Linked DNA regions of Drosophila melanogaster. The protein of the gene in region 2 purifies or fractionates together with the protein of the main gene of each other region. This does not show direct contact. Each region holds a gene or a part of one and is shown on either strand. Other genes may lie near its edges. The genes, in order: lva and CLIP-190.

The links.
Region 1: the proteins of CLIP-190 (region 2) and lva purify together in Drosophila melanogaster (affinity purification with western blotting; 2 studies listed by BioGRID, with this or other methods). This does not show direct contact.

What each region holds. Positions count from the first base shown.
Region 1 is NC_004354.4:3,956,118-3,968,313, forward strand, and holds the start of lva (lava lamp), read right to left. Parts: upstream 9,211-12,196; 5' UTR 8,638-9,210; coding exon 8,584-8,637; intron 8,522-8,583; coding exon 8,450-8,521; intron 8,381-8,449; coding exon 8,300-8,380; intron 8,236-8,299; coding exon 4,525-8,235; intron 4,468-4,524; coding exon 4,360-4,467; intron 4,294-4,359; coding exon 396-4,293; intron 311-395; coding exon 190-310; intron 129-189; coding exon 1-128. Other genes in the region: CG6428 (uncharacterized protein), read right to left, coding at 9,703-10,404, 10,471-11,220, 11,280-11,515, 11,913-12,120. UniProt on the Drosophila melanogaster protein: Lva and spectrin may form a Golgi-based scaffold that mediates interaction of Golgi bodies with microtubules and facilitates Golgi-derived membrane secretion required for the formation of furrows during cellularization.
Region 2 is NT_033779.5:17,379,712-17,392,536, reverse strand, and holds the start of CLIP-190 (cytoplasmic linker protein 190), read right to left. Parts: upstream 7,523-12,825; 5' UTR 7,042-7,522; intron 6,977-7,041; 5' UTR 6,907-6,976; coding exon 6,642-6,906; intron 6,392-6,641; exon of another isoform or gene 6,208-6,391; coding exon of another isoform or gene 6,144-6,207; intron 3,197-6,143; exon of another isoform or gene 3,007-3,196; intron 1-3,006. Other genes in the region: Lrch (Leucine-rich-repeats and calponin homology domain protein), read left to right, coding at 8,755-9,067. UniProt on the Drosophila melanogaster protein: Together CLIP-190 and jar may coordinate the interaction between the actin and microtubule cytoskeleton. May link endocytic vesicles to microtubules. May play a role in formation of furrows during cellularization.

The DNA.
Region 1 (12,196 bases), on a different chromosome or scaffold from region 2:
CTGATTGTGATCCCGAGCCCTGCTTGGCCATGTCCTTCTGCAGTTGAAGCATCTGCTGCAGGCGCTGCTCGCGCTCGTCCACGATGACCTTGTCCTTGGAATGCTTCACCGTCTGCAACTCAGCTAGCCTGAAAAGAGCAATAACAACCATTAAGCCTTTGCTCCATTATCTTGTAGGACAGCACTCACTTCTGCTTGAGGTCACTGCCCGCTGCGCTCGTCGTGCCCAGAAGTTCGCTGTTGCTGCCCGCACTGCTGATTTTACTGGGACTGCTGCTCGAGGCGGCTGATGAGGATGCCGTGGCACTTGCTGCTCCGGAATAGAGGAGAACAAAAATTAGGATTGGATCGGATCATATATAACAAAAATGCTCAGAATTGGCAATCCGACTCACGTTCATCGCTAACGCGACTCCGCTCAGTTTCCAACTGGCGCAGTGTGTCCGACAACTTCAGTTGCAGGTGATCACGTTCCTCGAGCAACTGCACCAGTTCCACAATCATTTCCTCGACTCGCATGTCGCGCTGGTGGAGCATCATGAGGGCGTAATCTAGATCCGCTTTAAGCACATACTCGGGCAGTGGTTCGTTGGCAGTTAAGGATGGTGGTCCACCAGCTGAGACTGTTGTCGAGGCAGGATTGCCCCCACTGGCTCCACCACGATTCTGCAGCCGGAACGGATCGTATTGGGCGGCTAAACGAGCGTACTCGGCTGAACGAATGGCCAGCTGTTCCTTTAGCGTCACTATCTCCATTTCCTGCGTTTCCAGCGCCTTTTGCATCTTTTGCATTATGTCGCTGGTGGCCTCACCTTGTGTGGACTGCTGACTCTGGGGCAGTTCCCTCTGCTGCTGCTGGGTAACCTCCTCAAGTTGCGCCTTGAAGGCGGCTTCCCTTTGAGAGAGATGTTCCTGCCAAATGCTGGCCACCTCGCCGCACTTTTGCTCCACCAACTGTTCCCACTGCTGATTGATAGCTGACAGATCGGGTATTTGCTCTGCAGCGGAATTCTGGCCAAGATTTTGGCTTTGCAAGATTTCTAGAGAACGGCGCAGCTCGGTGATTTCAATGTTTTTGGTATCCAGCTGGAGCAGCGTTTGCTTCATCCTATCCTCCAGCTCTAGGCTGCTAAGAACATGATTGTTAAGCACACGCAGTTCCTCCTCCATATCCGATTTCTCTTGCTGGAGCTGTTGGCACAGGCTTTTTAGCTTTTCAACGGTCTCCCCGTCGTCCTTTGGAGGAGCAGCTGACACCTGCTGATCTTCCTTGTCCTCCTCCAATTGCTTGACCTGCATGCGTAGTAACTGTAGCTCTTGATTTTTGGTCAGGATCTCGAAGACAAGCTTCTCCGTTTGATCTTCGCGCATAAGCTCTTCGATGCGTTGCTTTAGGTGCACAATCTCTGATTCCTTCTCCTGCAGTTGAGCCATTTGCTCATCATTTCTGGAGGCCATGTCCACCGAGAGTTGTTGACCCTGACAACTCTGACGCAATGCTTCCAATTCGGCTTGATCGCGTGCGCGCAGAGCTTCCAGTTCGATTAGTTGTTGGCGCAGCTGTTGAAGCTCCAGTTGTTGATTATCCCGCTGCTCGATTGCAATCCTTGCCGCTTCATCGTGACCCTGGCTACTCTGACGCAATGCTTCCAATTCGGTTTGATCGCGTGCGCGCAGAGTTTCCAGTTCGATTATTGCTTGGCGCAGCTGCTGGAGCTCTAGTTGTTGATTGTCCTGCTGCAAGGTCGCAATCCTTACCGTCTCGTCGTGACCCTGACAACTCTGACGCAGTGCTTCCAATTCGGATTGATCGCGTGTGCGCAGTGCTTCCAGTTCGCTTTCTTGTTGGCGCAGTTGCTGGAGTTCCAATTTTTGGTTGTCTTCCGCCTCATCGTAACCTTGGCTACTCTGACGCAATGCTCCCAATTCGGCTTGGTCGCGTGTGCGCTCATCTTCCAGTTCGCTTACTTGTTGGCGCAGTTGCTGGATCTCCTGCTGTAGGCTCTCAATCCTCGCCGCCTCATCGCCGTCTAAGGATGAAGAGACAGTTGCGGCGGGCTCACCCCACTGGTCTAGTTGGCTAAGCTTTTCTTGGAGCTCCCGAATGCGAGCCTGGTACATTTGCACATCCATGTCCTGACGCTCCTTCATTTCGGCCATACGATCGTTTCCTGCTGTCAGAACATCGATACGTTTCGCTAACTTCTCTTTTTCCAGGGCGTGCTGTTGTGAAATTTCTTCCGCTTTGCTCAGACGAGACTCTTGCAACTGGAGCTGATGCTTCAGCTCCTCAATAATGGTTGAATCCAGATCATTATCCACTGTCACAGTGGGCGTGGCGGTCGTTGTTGCCTTCGTTTTGTATTCCTTCAGACGCTTCATAAGCTTGGCGGCTTTAGTCTGTAGTTCGGTCTTTTGCTGCTCGGCATTGGACAACTGCAGCTCTAATTGAGCGATTCTCGTGTGCAGGTGCTCCACATCGGTTTGCGGCGCTTCGTTGGCAGCACTGGCCCAGGGATCCTCGTCAACGCCCCAATCAATGGTTTGAGCAGTCTGCTCCTGAATTTCCTGCTTTGGCTGGCACAAATATGCCTTTTTGGGCTGGATCAGTGGTTCCACCACTGGCTCCGTTTGGGGCAGACCCAAATCCAAATGGTGACTAACAGCATCGGGCACTGTTTCCTCTGCCTGACCGCCGAAGAACATGTCCAATGTAGGCGCTGCCGCCGGTTGGATAAGCTTCTCCAGTGCCGCCAAGCGATCACGTTCCTCATTTGCCGTTTGAATGTCGGCCAGCTGCTGTGTCCGTTCGCTTAGCAGGCGCTCTACTTCCGAAAGACGCTGCTCCAACTGCAAACGTCGCTCTTCCTGCTCGGCCAAGTTCTGATTTCGCGCCAGCAGCTTCGTTTCCAAGTCCTGTGCATGCTTCTCCAGATCAGAAACGTTTCGCTGAAGATCCTCGATTGTAGGTGGTGGAGAAATAGGTGGCGGTGCACTTGCCGCTAGGGAAGAAACCCTCAGTGGTTGGGCTATCTCATCGAAGGGCGAGGGGGCGGCCAAAGCATCGCCACCAAAGAACAGTGAAGCCGGTGGAGGATGCTGCTGAGATTGTACAGCAGGATGATGATGCTGTTGCTGCTGCTGCTGGTGCTGCTGCCTGGCCAGTTGTGCCTGCAGTTCGCTTAGCTGCTCCGCCAAACGCTTGTTCTCCGTTTCGATGTAGACCTGATCATCAGTTTGATTCTGACCCAGAGTGTCCAACTCAGCGATTCGCTGCTGCAGCGCCTGCAGCTCCTGGCTGTGATTGGCGCATAGAGCATCTATCTGAGTGCGCAGGTTGTCCATTTCGGTCTTGTCCTGCATGGCCTGCATGCGAAGTTCCTGTAGCTCCAAAACATCTTGCTCAGCACTGTCATGCTGCAAACGAAGCAGTGTCACTTCCCTACTCAAAGTGGATCTCTCGCGTTCCACCTCCTGGAACTCTTCGTTGAGTCGCTGTAGTTCCTCAGTTCGTTGGGCCACCAGCTCTTGGGACCGCTCCAATTGCTGGCAAAGCTCTCGCGTTTCGGCTGCAGCTCGCTCCACATGGCTATTGAGGTCGCATTCGAGTTCATCGAGCTCCGTGGCCTTGGCTGCCAGTTTGGCATCGTAAACCTGCCGCTGACGGTGCAGATCCGCCTCCTTGACGTCCAGTTGCTGTCGGAGTTCGGCCAGCTCCTCCTGGCTGTGGCTGCTCATCTGTTCCCTTTCTGCCTGGGCGGTGGCTGTTAGTTGCGAGTGTTTGGCCAGCAGAGACTCGTACTCCGTTCGCAGGCCAGCCAGTTGCTGCCTGCTCTCTTCAGCTTCGCTGGTGAGCAACTCAAGTTGGCGACTTTGAGCTTGCTCCCGTTGTCCAAGCTCATAGAAACGCTCCTGTAGCTGCTGATCCTGTTGGCGCTTCTGCTCTTCCTGCTCGCGCTGTTCCTTCAACTGTTGCTCCAGTATTTGCACTTTATCTTGGGACGCCGCTTGTTGGTTAGCCTGACTGGCGGCCTGTTCCTCAAGAGCAGCGCTTCTGGCCTGCAGTTCCGTATTCTGAGCCTCCAGCGACTCAATGTACGAGGCATCCTCCTGTAGCTTGGCTTGAATCCCTTCGTGAAGTGTCTCCAGACGGGCGATGGTCATCTCAAAGTTTGCCTTATCGCTGGCGTACTGTTGCGCCAACAGAGCGTGTTGCTCCTGGGCCGCCGTAAGCTGGACACGAAGCTGTTGAAGTTCTCTCTCTGCCACTTGGAGGGATTCCGCTTGTTGTTGCTAAAAATTTTTTTTATTTGTTGCATTAGAAGGTAAATGAGGTTCAAGTTCAAAGTTCAATCTCACCGATTGTGATTCCAATAGTTGATGTGAAGTTTTGGTAATGGTATCATCGCCTTCACCGGCTGCCCTGCTCCTTTCCAGCTTAAGAATCTCTTGTCGGAGGGCAGTAATCTGTTGTGGTTGATTATTATCTTCGACATCAAATATGCCTAAAAATCGATTACTCACCTCCGCATCCTTTTCTAAACGCAGTTGCTCGTGAGCGGCCCGCGCGTTCCGCACATGTTCCACCTCGCTGTCTTGATCCTGCTGCAGTTGCTGTAACTCACGCTGCAGCGATTGAATCGTGGCATTGCGAAGCTTTATCAACTCCTTGGACTTTTCGAATTTCTTCGATTTGGCCTCTAATTGACGCCGCAAATCCTCGACAGCAGTGGGCTCTTCGTTTACCCTCTGTCCAAGATTATGGATTTCCTCCTGAAGCTTAGAGATTTCTTCCCTGAGTCTGGAGTTTTCCTGGCCCAGTTGAAAGACTTCCTGATCGGCTTCTTGGCGCTCGCGTCGCAACTCCTTGCTTACCAGATTGGCATCTTGGAGCTCCGCATCACGTTCTTGGATAAGTTGCTCCTGCTCTTGTATTTGCTGCTTTAACTGACGCAGGGCATCGCGATTTTCCAGGTTGAGATGGATCTTGGCCTTAAGGTCTTCGTTAAGCTTGCTGACCTGTTGCTGCAGTTGTTCAACCCGATGGTTGTCCACGATGGGTTCACGTTCCACCTCTTCTTTCTGCTTGACAAGCTCCTGCTGTTCTTGAAGTTGACTAGTAAGTTCCTGGACCTTCTGCTCGAGATCGGCATTGTCCTGTGTGCGTTTCTTGAGGTTAAGGGCATACTTCTTGAGTTTCTCGCGCAGTTCGCGGTTCTTGAACTGCTCCTCTTTGTGGGCATGTTCTAATCCTTGATACTCCTGGATTTGCTGGTTCAGGGCATCGACAGTCTCCTGGCTGGAGGTCAACTCTCTGACCTGCTGGGCAACTAAACTTTTGCTAACGCGCAGAGCCTCTCGGAGCTGATCCGGATCCTCTTTGGCTCTCAATTCGCGCAGCTCCTCTTGTGCTGATTGCAATTCCAGCATCTTAAGGTTAAGCGCGTGCTCGCTTTCGCTGACACTCTCAATGAGTTGCTGCTTCTGCTCGGCAACTAGAGTCTGTAGGATACTCAGCTCGCCCTCCAGAGATTCGGCTCGGGCCTCTAACTCTCGACGAATCCTTGTTTGCTGCTCCAGTTGCTTCTCATGGCTCATTTCCTTGGAGTTGAGCAGCTGATCGAATTGCTCTGATTGCAGCTGGAGTTGTGTGATCTCGGCACTCTGCCTGGCCACCAATTGCAGCTGTTCTGCTTCGGTTTGACGCAGCTCCTTGATTTGATCTACCTGCTCCTCGATCTGCTGGCGTTGCTCGGCCTGCAAGGAGCGTGCGTCCTCCAGCTGGGACTGCAATTGCAGGATTTCATCTTCCCTTTGAGAATCGGAACCAACTATGGCCAATGGCGCTTCGGTTTCAGGATAGCTTTCCCGCAATTCATCCAATTCCTGGCGCAATCGGGAGATCACCGCCTTGAGTTCCGCGTTCTGTGCGTTTAGCTGCTCATATTCCGCAAGAGCTTTTCCGTTGGGAGCGGTCACGGCCACCACGGTCTCCACAACGGTAACAGTTTCTACCGCCGTGCTCGCTTCCTTAACCTTGTGGAGAAGCTCACTCAATTGGGTGTGACAGTTCTTGGCCTCCTTGGCCAGTTTCTTGGACACATTGAACTTGGCCTGCCTATCGTTGGCCTTGCGATAGGCCTCCAATTCAGAGTTGAGTTTGCTCAGGGATTTCTCGCATTTCTCAAAGAGCACGGGGCCTCCTTCGCCGGCGTCCAGTGTTGCGACAACTTCGGAGGAGCGTTGCATTGAACTGAGTTCCTGCGAGAGATTGGATGAAGTGGACGTGGAGGAGATCAGATCCTTCTCACGTTCACGCTGCAACAGCTGAAGAGAACTTGAACTTTCCTCCAATCTTGCCTGGAGTTGCAAATTCTCGGCCGACAGTTGCTCCAGCTTGTCCAATACCTCTCCGCGCTCCTGGGTGAAAAGTTCGAGACGTTCTCTAAGCTGGGAAAGAGTTTCGCCAGAGGAATCCTCCTCCTCAGTTTGCTCCGTCTGAGTGAGCTCGCTGACGTGACTTGGCCCTGGTGGATGCACTTGCTTCTGCTCCTGGGCGTCGCCCTCGCTGGCCGGACGTCGTTGGCCTAGGCACTCTAAGTGATGACGCTCCACTATTTCAATGGATTCCGCAGAACTGGATGAACTGAGTAAGGCCTCTAGGGCCTGTTGCAATTCCAATTTCTGCTCTTCCAGCAAACGAATTGTTTCCAGCTGCAGTGGATTATTGGACTCCGTCGATTGCTCTGGCTGGCGGTCGTCCTCTTGCATGTTGGCCAACTGCCATTGACCCTTCTCGTCCTCGAGGACGGCGATCCTTTGCTGCAGTTCCTCGTTATCAGCCAACAGTGAAGCCAACTGCTGTTGGCCATCTTGGGATTGGAATTTCTGCAGCTTCTTTTCCGCCTGCTTGCATTTCAGCTTTAGCTTTATGTTGGCCTTGTTAGTTTCGTCCAGCTTTAGCTTCAGCTGCTGCAGATCCTCCTGCATCTGCTTGCTGGCGGCACTGTCCTCCGAATGGTCCTCCAGAAATAGGGGCTTACTGCGACTGCTTTGCGCGAGTTTCTCCTCAAGGAGACGCAGATTCACATTGAGCACATTGAGTTCCGTTGTCTTTTCTGCGAGTTCTTCGTTTTGGGCAGCCATTGCCGACTTCTGTTCCTGCAGCTCTAGAAGCTGCGCCGCTATGGTGGCTTCCAGTTCCTCAAGGCGCTGGGAAACAATCTCATCGGTCACCTGGAGCTTCGCCTGGGCAGCAACTTGCTGACGCAACTCCTCATTAGTTGCCTGTAGATCAGCCAGCTGGTTGGTAAGCTCCTGGAGCTGTTTGGCTAGCTCCGCGCTCACCTGTGCATCGGTATGCGCTGCTTCCGATTGCGGACTGCGGGAAGCCTTTTCCTGCTCTTGTTCCAACTCCAGATTACGCTGTCTTTCGCGCGCCGTGGTCAGCTCTTCCTGAAGTTCACAGCGCGTCGTTTCTAACAGGTCGTTGACGTTTTCCAGCTCTGCTAGTCGTTCTCTTAAGACTAAAACTTCGCCCTGGAGGCGAGAGTTTTCCTGCACCTTCAGGCTATCCTCTTCTGCCTGGACCACACGCAATTGCTCTAACTCCTCGTTTCGCTGGGTGAGCGTGCGCTGTAATTCCGCACCGGATAGTTCCAATCGCTCGATGAGTTTAGCGCGCTTGGCCAGTTCTGTACGCAATTCATTTAGCTCCTGTTCCTGCCGGCCCTGCTTGAGTTCCGTCAACTTCATACGACTCCTGAGCAACTTCACCCGGCTTTCGTCCACCGCCTCCTGACCCTGGGCCTCCAAGTCCAAGGCAGAACGATGGCGGGATACGGGTGGATTGGAGACAGACGCCGCGTGTCGTAGGTCCGTCATGGAAGAGCCCAGCTCGGCGGTCGTTTGGTGGCCAATATTCGACTTTACAGAAAGAAGAGACTTGGCCAGATCCCTCTTGCGCTGCTCCAACAAAGCACGATTTTGTTCCGTGCGCTGTGTGAGCATCAGAAGCTTCTCGCTGCCACTGGTTTGGAGTAAAGAGACATCACCGGGGTCGCTGTCCTTTGTGGGTGAGACCAGTGGAGTGGAGGAGTCGCCGGAGCGCGTCTTCAACACGGTGAGCTTCTGACCCAGTGTCTTAAGCGACTCCATGGAGTCACTCATGCTGGACTTGTGTCGCTCATCCTGGGATTTCCTTAAGGCGCGTTCTTTTAAGGCAGTGAGGCGCTCCTGAAAGCAATCATTTCGAGTCATTTAATGATATGAACCACTTGATTCACAGCGCCTAACTCACCTGCTGCTTGTACAGATTCTCTTTAAGGCTATCCAAACGGCCCTTGCCTTTGGTGCCTCTCGTTGTGCTGGCGGATACATTCTGTAGGGTAGATTCAACAGATAATATTGAATCCTGCTTCACTTGGGGGATTTGTTCAGATTTACCCACCTGTAACGAGGACAGATCGTTGGAGCTGCCCGCTAAGCGTATATCCGCCTCGCCATATTCGTGATCGTCGGGCTGCAAGTGGTCATGATCAGTATGGACGCATGTACGTACAGGGAACACCAAGTGAAACCCACCTGAACGATGGAGAAGTCGTAGGAGCTCTCCAAAGCACCCGAATCTTCCGCCATTGTCGTTTCAATTACAAAATATTACTAACTATCCTAGCGTACCGGACCAAATGCAGCAGCAATAACAAAAAAAAAAAAAAAACCAAAAACAAACAAAAACACAAATCGGGGGAATCGGGAATATATATGCGGACTGGCTATCTGAAGGACCGATTATATATCCACGGTGGCTGCGCAGCGCTAGCTATCGACATTGACTGCAACGAGAGAGGGTTTACCATATAGCTAACATATATCATCCGCTTCCGATCGGCTAGAATTGTCTTTAGCTTTGAATTTGCGTTTCTTGTTGTTCTTTTTATTTTATGGAATTCGTGGCACTGACGTGTGCACCTCTCTATAGATGTGTGCGTGTGTGTGCGGCTGTGTGTGTGCGAGTGGGGCTGTGTGTGTGTTTTGTTTGCTGTTTTTCCAGCGCTTGTGTCGATTTTCGCCTGGTTTCTGAGTTACAAGCCACTAAGCACTAGATTGCAACGTAAGAGCTTTCTTATGTGCACGCTGACAGATGTATATTTACCAATTCTAATTAATGCCAGCGTAAAAACAATTCGATACCAGGGCTGCGCAACAACTGAATAGGGTCACAAAGCCCTGGTAAGTTATCGAATGACAGATGGCTCGATAGCACTTGCGCTCGTAATCAATCAATCGATTACAAACTAATTCAAAAATTTTGCATTAATTTCAAATTGATTTTATTTATTTTCATACAACAAATTATACTAGTTTGTGTATATAACTTGTTATACAACCGTTTAATATGTCTGATGCTTAATTTTAGACATGATTGGTTAATTTTTGGTTTTGGCTAATAATATTATTGCATACAATGGATACATTAGTAAATAAGGACTACTTAAAAACAGGTCAGGGATTCGACACTTAATAATAAAAACTACCACGACAACATCGTTAATATGCGAGTTATGCAAAACTGATAATAAGGAACCATTAGACTAGATGCAACACTTAAGTACAAAAGAAATAACCCTAGCCTCCAGTGTTTGTTTTTTTCTTCATGCTGCAGGAACAAGGAACGAGGTATGTATGGTTCGGAAGAGATTTCTATGATTTTAGGACCTCCATAACCGCTGCGTGTCCGCCGCGCTCCGCATAATCCATGGCGGTCAGGCCGAGCATGTCCTTCTCGTTCGGATTCTCGAAATAGGGCAGGACGTATTGCACCACCTCCGGAAATCCGTGCAGTGCTGCCACGTGCAAGGCCGTCCTGCCCGAAGGATCCGACTGGGCAAGATCGGCACCGGCGTATTGATAGGACTTCAATCTGATCATCGATCCCCTAGCAGCGGCCGCGCACAATTGCTCGCCCACCGCTCGCGAAGAGCCCGTCAAATGAGCACCACAGTTGATGAGCAACTGGATGATCTCGTGGCTATCGGTGGCGACAGCCTCCAGAAGTGGAGTGCGGTCATACCGATCACGCACGTGCACGGACACCCCGTTCTGCAGTAGGTACTTAACGATCTCCACGTTTCCCAGCTGACAAGCCAAGTGTAGGGCCGTTCGCTGGTCATGATTTGTGCCCGACAAGTCGGCGCCATAGGCTTTCAAGTTGTTGATCTTCTTGGGATCACCTTCGGCCACAGCGGCGTTGATCATGGCCGGAAAGAGCGTTTCGCCCAGCTGATCCAGTTCTTGGGGCGAGGACAAGTGCAGAGACCGTGCCACTGCGTCCACCAAGTCGTAGTCCTCCATTTTGGGAGCCTTTAAGGAGGTCAGTTCGCCCCTCAGGCTTGACTGCATCATCTATGAAATGCACACATTGTGGATTATCCATATTTATGTATGTATTGAATTATAGTCGAAACTTACCTGCTTCTTCATATCGAGTGACCACTCCTCCTTGCCGATGACATAGGCCAGCTTGGCCAGCGCCGCCTCGGGCGTCATATCGAAACCGGGAATTACACCGACATCGCAGAGCACCTTGCCCGTATCGTAGATCTCCGCCACTGTGCCATTGGGACACTGTGTACAATTGATGATGATAACGCCTCGTTCACCAGCCGCACGCAGTTCATCGATGAGATCTTTTCGGTTCGATGGTATGTTTCCAGATCCGAAGGATTGCAGGACAACGCCGCGAATCGGTGGCGCCAGGAAAGCCCGGAATGTGGAGTGCGAAATGCTCGGAAAGATTCGCAGCAAGCCGACGTTCTCGTCGAGATTCAAGTGTACGCAAAACCTTTCAATAGTGCATGGCCGGAATATCAGGCGGTAGTCGACGTTCACATCAATGCCGATCCTGGCCAGTGGTGGAACATTCGGTGAGTCGAACGCGTCTAAGGCATTCGAACTGACCTTCACCGTCCGATTGCCGCGCATCAACTTATGGCCAAAGAAGATGCAAACCTCCGGAATGATGTAGTTACCGGCTATGATCAAGGCTGACGTAAAATTGTCCTTGCCATCGGTTCGCGTCTCAAAGATGGGTATTTGGGAGCCCGTGATGATCACCGTCTTGCCCAAATTTTCCAACATGAAAGACAATGCAGATGCGGTGTAGGAAAGCGTGTCGGTGCCATGGAGCACCACAAAGCCATCGAAGAACTCGTACGATTGCTAGACAATAATTTGGAAAGGATTAATATTACCTTTCATATATATATATATGTATGTACCTGAATATCGCTGGCGATTCGCGCCCAATCGTTCATCGTCATATTGCTGCTGTCCAGCAGCGGTGTATATTCCGAGATCTGGTAGATAACCCGGCGATCTACGCCCTGCACAATGGGCAGCACCAGTGGAGCCATCGATGCAGATGCTCCAAAGCGGCGCAGCGCGTACTCCTCATCGTGGATGTTTGGATATTTGCGGATGCTGCGCACCAGGGCATTGGGAATGGGAGCTAACACTGCGATAATTATAGAATATTAATATTGATAGTCACAAACTCCGTGACAAATTAGTTTCCTAATCAAGATGATGATTTATGGTCACGCTTCGTGTGTCAAATGTTTACTAAAATACCTAATTAGACCACTCAATAAATAGCAAGCAAATAGTCAATATTTAAATAGAAGCATCAACAATCTGTTGACTGCCAATTGATTTGTTTTGTTTACATTCATACCAACAATTTCAACTTTCATACATATTATTCGAATAAAATGTTTTCAAGTGCATTGCTCTTATCATATCTGGCCATTTTCTAAGACTCCCCTTGTTAGTAAAAGTGGGATCTTATCTACATGGACAGATTCGGGCAATCCCAATGAATCCTCGTATTCGTGACATTCTGGGCTGCTTACCATTCCGCTCGTTGCGCACCATGCCGATGGTGCCGCCAGTGTAGATGACCTTCACCCGGGCCTCTTTGACATCCTGGGCCATGAGTTTTCCATCACTTTTATTCCTGCGGATCGTGGGACTCGGCAGAGTGGGCGATGCCGGCGGCATGCTTTTGTCCAGCGAGGCCAGCCTCTCGTGACCATTGGTCTTCAGGACGGGAATATCCATAATATAGAGTAAAGAGTATAGAGGATGATGGACTGCGGAGCGCCGGTTGCGAAGCTGTGTGCCTTATCACTGGCTG
Region 2 (12,825 bases):
CGTAAATTCATTAGACGCAGAAAAGTATCTCAACAAAGAAAACAAACAAATATGCTGGCCAAAACTAAGCTAACGAAAAAAAAAAAATAGCGAAACAGAAATGAAGGCAATAATGGGTTTGTTTACACGAAAAGCCACAGAAAGACTTTGGTTCACTCAGTTGTGACAATAAATCATTTGAAAAGATTTTCAAGCAAAACAGGTGCAAAATGAAATATCATTTCATAATCGAAAAAAAGAAACCGGGTGCGGACCATAAAAATTAATTAACCAAAGGTGGTTACACCTTTTCCAATTTTTTCTCTTTTCATTACCGATTTGTGTTTAGTCAAAGAAACGGTAATTTAATTGCCGGCGAAGTCAGTGAAAATAAAAATAAAAGGTGCCGCCAGCGGAAAAGCAAAGAAAACCGGCGAAACAATAAATAAAAAAAAATCATTTTCGAGGCGTGTGAAACGCAATTAGGCGGGGAAAATTTACCGCAATTAAATGCTCCTAAATGAGTGTCATACAAAGTGCAATGCAAATTAGCTGGGCGCAAAGGTGCGTATACGTGATCATACAGCATCGCGCATTACTCATACGCCACATATACCACCCACGAAAGGTTGCCCTGTCTATGCCAATAGTTCTAGAACAAATACCAAGCTGAGCTCATTGGGGAGCTTCAAAAGCATATATATATATAAATATCAAATCAAATATAACAAACGGCAACAATAAAATTGTGTAAACAAACCGACTAAATTGAGTTGAATGACGACAGATCATTATTGCCGGTGGCGGGATCCACAGCAAATATATAAAAGTATATAGAATGTGTTCGGAAGTTAGTGTTAAATATATAAAGATATGGGTATGTATCCCAGTTTGACAGATGGGATGATCAGTCTGTCAAGGTGATGCCTTCAAAAGGCTTTATGACATCGCTCCCACACGCCCACAAGTTTTTGCAGGTGGATTGTGTAATCTTTATGTGAATATCTGGTTCTAAATACAAAGTCTCCATATTTGCATTCCATTTGTGTAAGCAGCAGCAGCCGCGAAACTTTTTTAAAATTTACTAATAATCAGCTTTTACGTTTAAACTGTATAAGATGCTTTATTTACTATCCATATTTATTTACCTACAAATGCTGAGTATTACAAATAATAAGCTATATACAAATTTTTACAGATGAATATGAAAAAGAAATATTGAATATAAAAAATATATGGGTAAACGTATTCATATTTTTTCAAGCCCTAATCATTCTAAAAAAATATCTTTAACAGATATGGTAATCAGATTTTAGCTCAAATTCCTCCATTTTCAAGTACACATTCCAGCAAGATAACTGGCATCTTGATTCTCTCTTATTTCGGGAAAAATCAACATCTTAAATGAGTAACAATTTCACTACCTAGCGAAATAATGTGAGAATCTCACCGGTCAGTTCTAATTCAAAGATAGCGTGGCAACAGCAAAAGTTGAAGAGTTTTGGGCTGGCAATGTCGCAGTCAGTGGAAGTGTGAATGGAATCCAAAATAAAAATGTGTTCTCCTTATCAACAACAGAACCAAAATAATAATAACAGCTGATAAAATACCAGTTAGCAATAACAATGCCAAGGCAAATGACAGCAAGCAACTTGGCCTGGTCCAAAATGACTCAAACAATTGAGCGACAAAATGTGCGTTATACGAACGGAACGTGGCAGTGAAAAGAAAGCCACAAAACGGAAAGAAAGTTAGCTGCAGACAACTAAATAAAAAAATTGAAATTTGCATATGGTGTTGGCCGCCAGTGGAAGCCCAGTAGATTTGGCAATAAGACGTCAACGCCGAGCCCCAAAAACCACAAACAAACACAGAAAAAAAAAGCAAATTGCACTAAAAATCAAAGTCTTAGGCAATATGCAAATATTGCCGCTGTGAAAGTCATTCCATTTCGCATATATATGTACGTATTTTTAGACCGATCAACGTTTGTGTCTCTTTCAGTCAAAATACGAATCAGCAATAGCAAATTTGTATATCTAATTAGCGGTTAACCGCAACTTTTCAATACAATCCGCAACCGAACTTTGTTATTGCCGTTTCGGCAAATAAACTTTTGTTGTCGCTTAGAGTTTATCGTAGATATCGGAGATATAGAATGCCTTAAGGTTATCTCGGCGATTTAGCCGACATTTCAATGAGAGAGAGGTTGGGGACACGTGCTCACAGCCCATTTACAAGTTTTTGTGCGTCAATTTACTTATGTAAGTACTTGCAAACAGGAAAATGCGGATGCCAGCGGAAAATCCGTAATTAGCTACGATCTCAGTACACCGGCAATGGCTAATGGAAAGGCCCAAAAGTACAAATGCCAAGGCCCACACCCAGCCTTTGAAGTCGTTTCTTCTGATAATTATCAAGTTTTATTTTTATGCGCTTTAAATACACCTATTATATTTAAAAAACCAAGGCTTTCTGATAAAATCTAGTCCAAAACAGGAATAAAACTATTCATTGACCGAAATATCGCTGTCATTAAATTGTGCAGTCATAAATGGGCCAAGCCCAACAAAATCGGTTAAATGATAAGGATCTAAGCATGTTATAATTTAGAACAGAGATATCAATTAACGCTGTATCTTATCTTTAAACTCAATAAAACCACATTAAACAAAAAAATTGGAAAATTTCTAGGTTTGTCTAAGACACGAAATTAAATAAATATTTATGAGGCCACAACCAAAGCAAAGTTTCACATAGGAACAAAAGAATAAATTTGATTAACAATTGGTTATCAACCAGACCAAGCCAAGGTCAAAGGCTGTCGCCAGAAATATGAAAAACGAAAAGTTTCCAAAAATATCTTGCACTGCAGTAAACTCGAATCCTTTTAGGGCATCGACAAGGACGTAGAAAAAGGTTCACATAACTTATGCCTTTACAGTTCTTTTTTAAAAGCCTTATATTTTAATTGGAAATTTCCAATTTAAATAACGACATTCGTAATTTGCTGGCACACCAAATCACCTTTTGTGAGTTGTATAACAATAAGTAAGTCTCTCTGTTAAAGTTGGCTTCTATTTTGGATTTTCAATTTCGTTTGCGTGTTCACTATATAAGCTATAGTATAGAGCCGATCAAGTTCAATTGGTTGCCATCTGAGTTGCAATTCCGCGTCTGAAACACGTCCGCCTCGCGAAAAGTCGTTCAAGTAACTGAACGTCGAGAGCCAATCGCGAAGCGAAGTCAGCGCAAACTTTGAGATACTTTTTTTTCGCAGCGAGAGAGCGGCGAAGCCGATTGCCAATCCGGTGCCGAAGCTTTGTTGGCCAGAGTTTAATAGCAGACACTGTGGCAATAGCTCCGCACTCTCGGTGTTTTTATTGAATAAACGTCGCGTAAAAATAAGAGCCGTAAAAAAATGTTTTTATTTTCGACTTTTGCACGGACACGCAAAGTGAGTTAATCCGGCAAACAAAGAATTGCCACATGGCTGCAATTTTATTTTCCCTTTCTTCGATACCATATGGATCGATCGCTCAATGGTTTTTAGCACTCTAATCACAAGTGCAGTAAATGCATGAAAATAACTAAGCAAGAGTTCGAAAAAATGGAATTTCACTTTTTGGGTTTTTTTAACAATCCATATTGGCTTTGAAAACTCTAAAAAATATGTTCTTGTTGTATTCAATAATTAATAGGCAAATATGTTTTGGATTTCGACTTGGAAGAAATCTTATGTGACCTTATATATTTCATAAAATATAAATATTTATAAGCAGTGAAATTTATTATAAAAAAGTATGTAAGTTTTGGAAAATTATTATTTTTTCTTTAAAGATGTTTGAAGTGGCTATTGAAAGATTCGATAAAGTTTTTAAACGCCGGGTTGTGTCTAATTATATATAAAGTTTACACGTAGGAAAACAATTTAAGAATTGCTTGACGAGATTGTAACAATGAATTCCAGAGACTAAATGCCAGTTAATCAGAATCAATTATCTTTAGATTCATCTATGAATCAGCTTTTAAGACAATGCACAAAAAAGCGCATTGAAATATTGAAACACGTATTTAATAAAATTTTCTAAACTATAACAAATACATAACTTATCAAATCGAATATGTATATATATTCCTTTTAAGAGAAGATACTGTTTTCTGTTGGCTGAAACCCGAGACGTTTTCAGCTTAAATATGCAACACGTGTCTTCAATTATAAAGATTTCAACGACTTAATGATGTGAAGTCAAATAAGTGAGACAAAAAGTGGTTAATCATAACATCAATATTGACTCTCCCACGGAGTCGGTGATGTAAACAGAACTGGGCTCAATCTAGAATCGAATGGAGTAATCCCCCGCCAGACGATGCTCATCCATTGGACGTCAATCCCGAACGCGTTTTCGATTCAATCTTAATGCGAAGACAAATGAGCTTTCCGTTTTTATGGGTGGGAGAGAGGCTCACTTCACTTTTGTTTCCGATCGAAACCAATAAAAGTGACATAAGCTCATCCACGAGCACCACGACCGCAATTTTCATATCAGATCGACTGAGAACGGAACCCGGCATCAAATGCGCAGCGCAAAAACACCTCAAAAGATCTGAGCTCACGAACAAGCTAGAAGATACGTTTTGAGTACGTTTTCTGTGTCATCGCCAGAACAAATTCAATTAGGGAACGACGACGTAGAGATAGATTGCCGGCCGGTCGCCAGGTTTTCTCGGTCGCATTTGAGCTGAGTAGATTTTCGCAGACTTTTGGCATTGAGTATGGCGGGCCAAATGACGGGTCTCTTGGCAGATAGTCAAACAGTCCGTTCCAGAATGCTAGGAGAGATTTTAGAAAGCTGATCTGGGCAGCGGATCAAGGCGCTCAGGCGCTTGGAACGGATTTGGTTTTAAGCAGCGCGTCGCATAAACTACTAATTGACTAAAGTAGTTCAACTATTTGGGACATGCGGTATATCACTTCGTTTTCGTTAATAATTGGCAAAATGCGGAATAATCTCTTTGATATGGCGATCAACACTGGCGTATTTGAAACAAATCAGCGTAGAAATTTAAATGTACTAAAGCAAAAAATTCGGAGCTATCAAAACAAACTGGACTTTCATTGAGCCAAGCAAACAGCTTAATTTCTGAAATAGGTTTAATAATTATGTGCAATAAACGACCAATAAACGATTTTAAAAATAATGTATAAATGGGCAAACAAACTAGTTACAAAACCAATCTAATACAAAGTGATAATCTAAATGATCACAGTGCACATAGCGCCGTGTAAACTATTTCTATGGATGCAAATTAAATACACCTCGTGACTCAGTTTTTTCTGTAACCCTAAACATTACAAATTTTTGTGTTTTTGGGTAAATTTACAGGGAATAAATTTCTACGATTTTGCGGTTGCATTGCGACTGTCAATCGGATATGGAACGTGTGTGCCGGCGAAATAGAAAACCCGTCAATCGATCCATGGATCGTTTGGCAGATCGTTTGCTATATGGGCCAGTGGGTCGTCGTATGTTGACGACTGCGGTGCGGTTACGTGCCTGAAATGAGCCACATTGGGCGGATCAATTAAATGGTAGCAGCACTTGCCTAATTGGCCATAATTCTCCTTACCAAAAACACTTTTCGGGGCAGCTCTATAATTATGATCGAGAGTTAAGAGTGGGCGGCAATTTGTTTTGTTTATTTTTGAATTGTGCGTTGGTGTTTCAAAACGATTAAATAATTGAAAGAAGTGAAGCATTTGTTTACCAAACGAAACAGTTGACGCTGGGAATTATTAATGGTTTCTCTTTAGAGAAGAATTTACACTAACTACGCGAGTTCTCGCCGAAATAATTGCAAGTTCAATGTAGTGCAAAAAGTGCACTCAAATGGGGTGGGGTCAGCGTATATGTATGTATATATTTAGCAAGTGAGTGGGTCTGTCATCGTTTCCATTAGATCATTGCATTCGCTTATAGTATACAGCAATCTACATCTTGTGGGTGCACATATATATATGTAGGCGGATGCTTGACTTGCTTGAGCCAAAGATGCAAACACAAAAGTAGTCAAATCTCGGGTATTGAGGGTAGAGAGTAAGTAAACTTGATGAAATGACCCCTTTACAATGTCAAACTTAAAAGTGCATTATTTAAACTCACCATTCTTTTTGGGTTTCTGTTTTCCCATTTGAATGTGGGTACATTTTTTAATATTAACCTTCATGAGTACTTGGTGATAGTATAGTGGTGGGCTATACTATTGAAACATATTTTACTGCGATATTTTCCGGAGAGCAATTCAATTATCAGACTTCTTCCAACTGTTTTATAAGTGAAGAACTCGCGTATAAAAGTGGAAATCGGTAAAAACCCCTTTTCTTGAATTGTGAAATTAATGTTCTTTGTTAAGATGTTAATATGTATGTGACAATGCACTGACAAGATTTTCAAAGGGGCTCTGGTTGAATTCCCATTGGTGTTCAGATGTGTTTTAATTTCATCTTGCTTTAAATTCTAGCTTGTAAAATGGATGATAATTAAACCCAGGGGATAATTAAGACCTTTAACTACTTTCAAAAATACTGCTCTTAGTAACATATTTGCTTTGAGCAATAATACTAACTGGTTTGCGTTGTTGCACAATGCGATTAGACTTACCTCTTGGTGGTGGACCGGATTTGGGAGTTGTGTGATTGCAGCACGGTCTTCCGATTTTGGAAACAGAACCCGTCGATCCAAAACTAGATGGTGCCTTCATTTTGCTGGGCTGCGGGATTCCGGTACCAGAAGTAGCGGGCGTGGGAATATTGGATCTGATGGGACCCGGTAATTTGGAGGCAGTGGCTCCTGGTTCCGGGTCCGCAGTAACTGGCGATGGAAAAGGGGCACTTGTCCCGCCCGAAGCGCTCGTATCATCACTCATTTTTTACTTTATTCTTAATAATCTTCACTTATTAGGACACACGCGTATTAAAAGTAAACGATTTAAAAAACTTGGGGGAAAAACAAGTGCAAAAGAATAATTTTTGGTAAAATAAATGGAATGCTGATCACTTACCTTAACAAATATATGTATAATTCGCTTAATTTGCTTTTATTTTATATTTTTGCTACAAAAATAAATGGATTTTTTTTATTTTTAGCTAGGTTTTGAACCACTGTTCCACTTTTGTTGTTGCTTTATTTTGGCGCGCAGGCAGCTATCTCACTCGCACTTAGGCGGCTGCTTTAAAACAGCTGACTGAGAGCAGATTTCTTTTCTTCTTTTTTTCGTTGAGCTTGAAAAACAAACAAGACCGCTTTTTGTTGTTGCTCTCGTTGGCCAGAACTTCGTTATATTTTCAAAAAATGCGGAACACAAATATGTATTGAATTAATTTTATGCGACTAACAAAATCACTCAAGGGTATTCTATTTATATAAATTCGTAACTTTTTATTTATAATTTTGTGTTGGGCTGCTTGCGCTGATATTCATCAGACTTAAACAAGATTAAATTGAATCAAATTGCTTATCAATTTGTGCATTTCACACACACACACACGCACGCTGTAGCTCTGTTCTATATTTTATTGTTGCTGCTGATTTGACACAGTTATAGAAGAGGGAACCATTAGAAGAGGGTGGGAAAAGGGACGCGAAAACGCACTCTTATTGGTGTGTGTTTACCGCACACACACACAGTACTTAAATAAACTGGAGTGCTTTACATACTGTGCTGTGCGAATACGATTTAGAAATATACGCGATTGGGATTTTACAATTTTACACAAATTTTAGATTTTTTTTGCACTTAGTTGGCGTTGCGTTGGAATTTTGTTGTTGCACTGAGTTAGCGATGGTAGCACAGCTCCAGTGCAGCGCGCCAATCGATAGTTGCGGCTATATTTTCCCGAGGTATTTTTAGAGTAATGCGGTCATACAAAAACACCCTGTAGGAAATTGGCGAATATTTATTCGTGAATATAAATATGTAAAATATGAAATTATGTCACCAATAATGGAAGCGTCGCTGAGCTTATTCAGATTTGTGATCTGAGCCCACACAACTGACAAATTAACGAATTTATAATTTAGTCTAACATGGTTTTTTAATATTCAACCAGTTTATTGCCGGGTTCCAATACCAGGTTACCTGGTCATTTGTTCATTTTTTCTTTAAGTAGTTATATGAAATGTTTCGGTGTAATAACGACTCAGTAATCTAATAATGCCCTAAATTTGAAGGGGCAAATGCTAAACGGTAGATCATTCTGAATAAACAAACATTACATTACATTATAAAATGTAAGATTGTTGACATTTCGAATTGCGATAAAAATGGAGCCAGTGTATCATCGGCGCACTGTGGTATTTTATCGATAGTACTCAAAGGCACGCCGATTTTAAACTAACAGCAACGTTTCCAGCGCTGCCCAAGTAGCATCCCATAAACCGATTCAGTTGTTTTTCGATTTTCGTTGTGCACTGTCGCTCGTCTGCTGCGTGAGCTTGTGCGTGTGTGAGTGCGCGTGTGTGCGAGGAGGCAAAGAAGAGGAAGCAAGAAGGAAGCCGCAAAAGGAAAATCCAATTCCGAGAAATCTTATCAATGAGCCAAGAAGACGTACACTAAATGAAAAATAATCGAGATGCGTGCGTTTCAATAGAGCAAATTTAGTTTCCAGTTTCGGTTTCTTTCGGCACTTCACTCCGTTTCCTTATCGGTGTGATAGTTTAGCGCGTGCGTGTGTGTGTGCAAGTGTGTGGAAGTGTCGCCACGCCTACACGGGAAATGGCAGCAACGGTTTACCAACGCCTACATAGCGTCGCAGTCGGCGTCGGCAGCGCCGCTGGCAGCGCCATCGGCAGCGGGTCGGCTTCCCTTCCAGGATCTGGAACAGGATCGGGATCTGGAATAGGCCACGCTGGAAACACCTCCTCCTCCACCTCGTCTGCCCTGCTTAGTCATTCCCAGCTGACGCGCTCCCTGGAAAGAATCCTGGAAGAAGCGCACTTCAGCGGCGAACTGATCCTGACCAATCGCAAGCTGAAGGACTTTCCCAGGACTGGAACGAAGTACTCACTTACCGACACTGTCATCGCAGGTGCGTACCGCTATTGTATAGTGTATATTCGTAAGGGAGAACAAAGAAAAGGTGTTCTTCAAGCCGGTTTCGTAGCTCCGGAAAAAATTGGGTTTTCATTACTTCCTAAGTAAAGTTTAAACTGTTCTTAATAATACTTAATGTACGAAGTTAATAACATTTTATTGGAAAAAGCATACATTTTTATATTACAAAGTTAAATGGTATTAAAGTTGATTAGAAAATTGTTAGTTATAAAGTTTTCTTTTGACGTCAGAAAAAGTAAAAGTAGAGTTTACATATGTACAAGTACTGATAAAGCAATTAAATTAGTTGCTTATCGAAAATGTTTGGCGTATGTGTATACCTTTAGGGTGCGGCATTTAAGCAAAGGAGGTTTGTTGCCGGTGAGCTAACGAAGTTTTTCCATCTCCATTGCAGTGGCGAATTTTCCTTTTGTTGCTTGAAAATCAATAATTTGCAGCAGCCGTCGGAGGTTCATCCTTTTCCTCCTTTTCTGTCCTCCCATCAGCTGCTCTTTCTCTCTGCGGCTCTCCCATTCTCTCCCTTTTCGGACTGCGCTCAAGGACAATAATTACCGCCGTTATTCGCTCTTCGCCACTTTGCACTATTCGTGTTATCCTTATTTATTTTTATTTTCGCCGCAGCCGGCACGAAAATTTTGTCGAAGTTCAACCAACTTTCGTTTTTGTTAGGACCAAAAAATATGCACCAGCGGAGAAATAGTAAATGGGAAATACCCACCCAGAAAATTCACCGCCCTCTCGCAGGACCCCGCCCCCTCTCACAGCTGCTGCTACCCTCGAACAGATGTTCTCACAACGGGACATGTCTCTCATCGATTTTCACTTGTGTTTGTTGTATACACATACAGTAAACGCTCTGAAAGGCGAAAGGATACGTAGATAAGGTTAGTTGTCATTCTAATCGCTGAAAAAGCGAGATATGGCAATTTTCCATCTAACAATACTTCACAGATCGAAGATTATGTTCATTGAAACGAGACAGATTATAAACTACAAAATTATTTTAGTTTATTTCTTTTAATTACTTACACAAAGTAAATTCCAACTATGAGATGTTATTATTAATTTTAAGACTTATTATGAACGTGGAATGTCACCTTTCAGAGGACGCACTGTATTTTGATGTATTTTCGGTGGAAATGTCTGGAATAGAAGGAAACTTTTTATTTTTGGACTGCGAAGATTAATTGCCGTGGAAGAGAGATAAAAATAAATTGTGTCATAAATTGAAAACTAATTTGGTAAAAGAATAGGGAAAGAATTCAATAAAAATTCCACTTAGCCAGTGCCTTGGATGATGGATAATACCGGAATTGAAGAGCAACAAAAATAAACAAAATTCTCAGTTTGTCTACCATTAATTCAATTAAAATTACATTTTTATAAAGCAAACATAAATTGACTAATTAATGAAACTGAATTGAACAATGCACTTCGATATTGAAAAGAGTACGTAACAAATTTCGGAAGGTTTCAATTAAATTTAGGATACTAGAAGTGTTTAAAGAGATAAAACTTAATCTCCCCCTAACCTAGGAAACATATTTTTAATTTCCTTCCAATCCACTCCGCTCCCCGTTTTCCGCCTACGTGACTTGATTTTCGAATTAAGCTGTGACAATCCGTGACTTATGGCCACGCGCTATTTGTTCGAAATGGGGAAACGATCCCTTCTTCTTTGGAAAACCCTTCCCCACATGGAGAGCCAACGAGCTTCCGGTTTTTCGTTCATTTTCGAATAAGTTTCATGCGTTTTCTCACCAGCAATTGAGTCATCGACTGCGAAGGCGTGACTAATTACTAATTAAAATGCTGGATTTTTGGTGTGAATGGACATGTGGAAAATAGAAAACAGGGGGAATATTGAGATACGCTGAACCTCTCGTTAGGGGTTAATCTTTGGGGAAAATATTTGTAAATACACCCTAGCGAAGAACCTCTACAAATTGCCTCTTCGAGAACAATGAAGCCACCCTCGGCGAAGGGTTTTCGCAAGTGGGGGCGGTGGACTTTAAGAGGTGGCAACGGCTCTTAGCCTTAATGGCTTGCAACCACAAGGGTTTCGAGTTTCCAAGAAATCGATGATTCTAAAGCAAAAGAAAGTCAAAGAAACTGAAACAGAAAAAATGTGGGAGGGGGGGGGGGTGTATACACCGACCATTTTTCTTTTTTCTTTATTTGCACGCATGCCATTTGCAACCCCCGAAATGGCATGAAATTAAGGGGAATGGGCAGGCGCCTGTCAGCATTTCCTAAAATCATTTGTTGTTGCGGTGTGGGTGGGAGGTAGCCACACTTTTGTGCATTCCTTTGGGGCGTTTAATTAACACGCGTGTCACGCAAATCAAACAGAACCATAAACAAAAACCTAGACAAAGGACGGCACAAGAAAGAGTCAATCGAGTGAAGCGAAAAATCAACAGCAGGAAATTGTTTAAAGTAATTGCATCGAGAAGGAAAAAGCGCAAAACGGGTACAAAATTGCAGCTGGCCTCAGCAGAAATTGTGAGAAGAGAAGCCCAAGCAAATGCAAGAAGGTAGCAACAGCAGCAGCAGCGGCAGCAACATGCAGCAGCAACTTCAACTCGCAGCAGCAACAGCAGCTGCGCAGACCGCAAAGTTGGCGCCGGCTTAGGAATCAGCAGCTGACAAAGGTGCTGCCCACTTGGACTTTTTATAGCCATAAACAGGGAGTTTAGCGAAAACTGTTTCAGAATATAACAAACTCACTCAAAATAAATATATATATATGTATGGAAATGTAGCAGCAATGATCGTCTGGTGTCCTTCGTTACTGAGCGGTTTAACAGTGGCGCTCCCTTGGATATTTTATAGCCATAAAAAGGCCGTTTAGAATCTTTTGGATCAATTTGTCACAAAAAAAGGAATCCCCTGGTGTCCATCGTTACTAAGTGGATCCACAGTGTCATACTATAAAAAAGCAGTTTCGTTTCCTTACTTGTCCATTTAGCTTCGATTTGTTTAAAAATACCGATAAACAATATTAAGCTCTGGCAAAGTTTGAATTTTTAATAATATTTATTTATTTAATAACAAAACTGTAATTGCAGCCTGGTAACTGTTACGAAATTGAGAGGTTCATATTTTACGTCAAAACAATAATTCATATCATTAATAGCAAGCAGGGGTTCATAAGCTTTTTTAGTATACACTTGGATTGCATTTTCTTTTAGTCACAATACTCTTTTTTCCAGACTGAACAAAACGTCTGCCAAGTGACCGAGAACAAGAAATCTTTTCTGTTTGGGGAAGTCAAAGTACCGGCAAACAAAACAACAGCAAACTTATAGAGCGAGGGGAAATGCTTTTGTCGTGTGTATCCGACGCGTATATTTGTTGTTTGCATTGTAAATATGATGGAGCATAAAAAGACAGCTAGTCTGGTTTTTTGTACTTTTATTGCTATTTATTCTCCGTCTGCAGCAGACAAAAGAGGAAATGTGACCGCCGCAGCACGTCGCTTATCTTCAGTGGCTGTCAAACTGCACGGTTCATGGCTTGCATGCACAATGCAGAAAGGAAAACATAAAAAAAATCATCGGACTTAGCGATGGTATCATGATAAAGTACTTCCCAGAAAATCGGTTCTGAAATAAATACCCAAGAAATTGATATGTCAAAGGAAATGTATTACTGACTATTGATCAAAAAACACTATCTTCATTTCAAAGGCAACCTTCCCACAGAAATATTTCGTATTTTAGGTGGAAA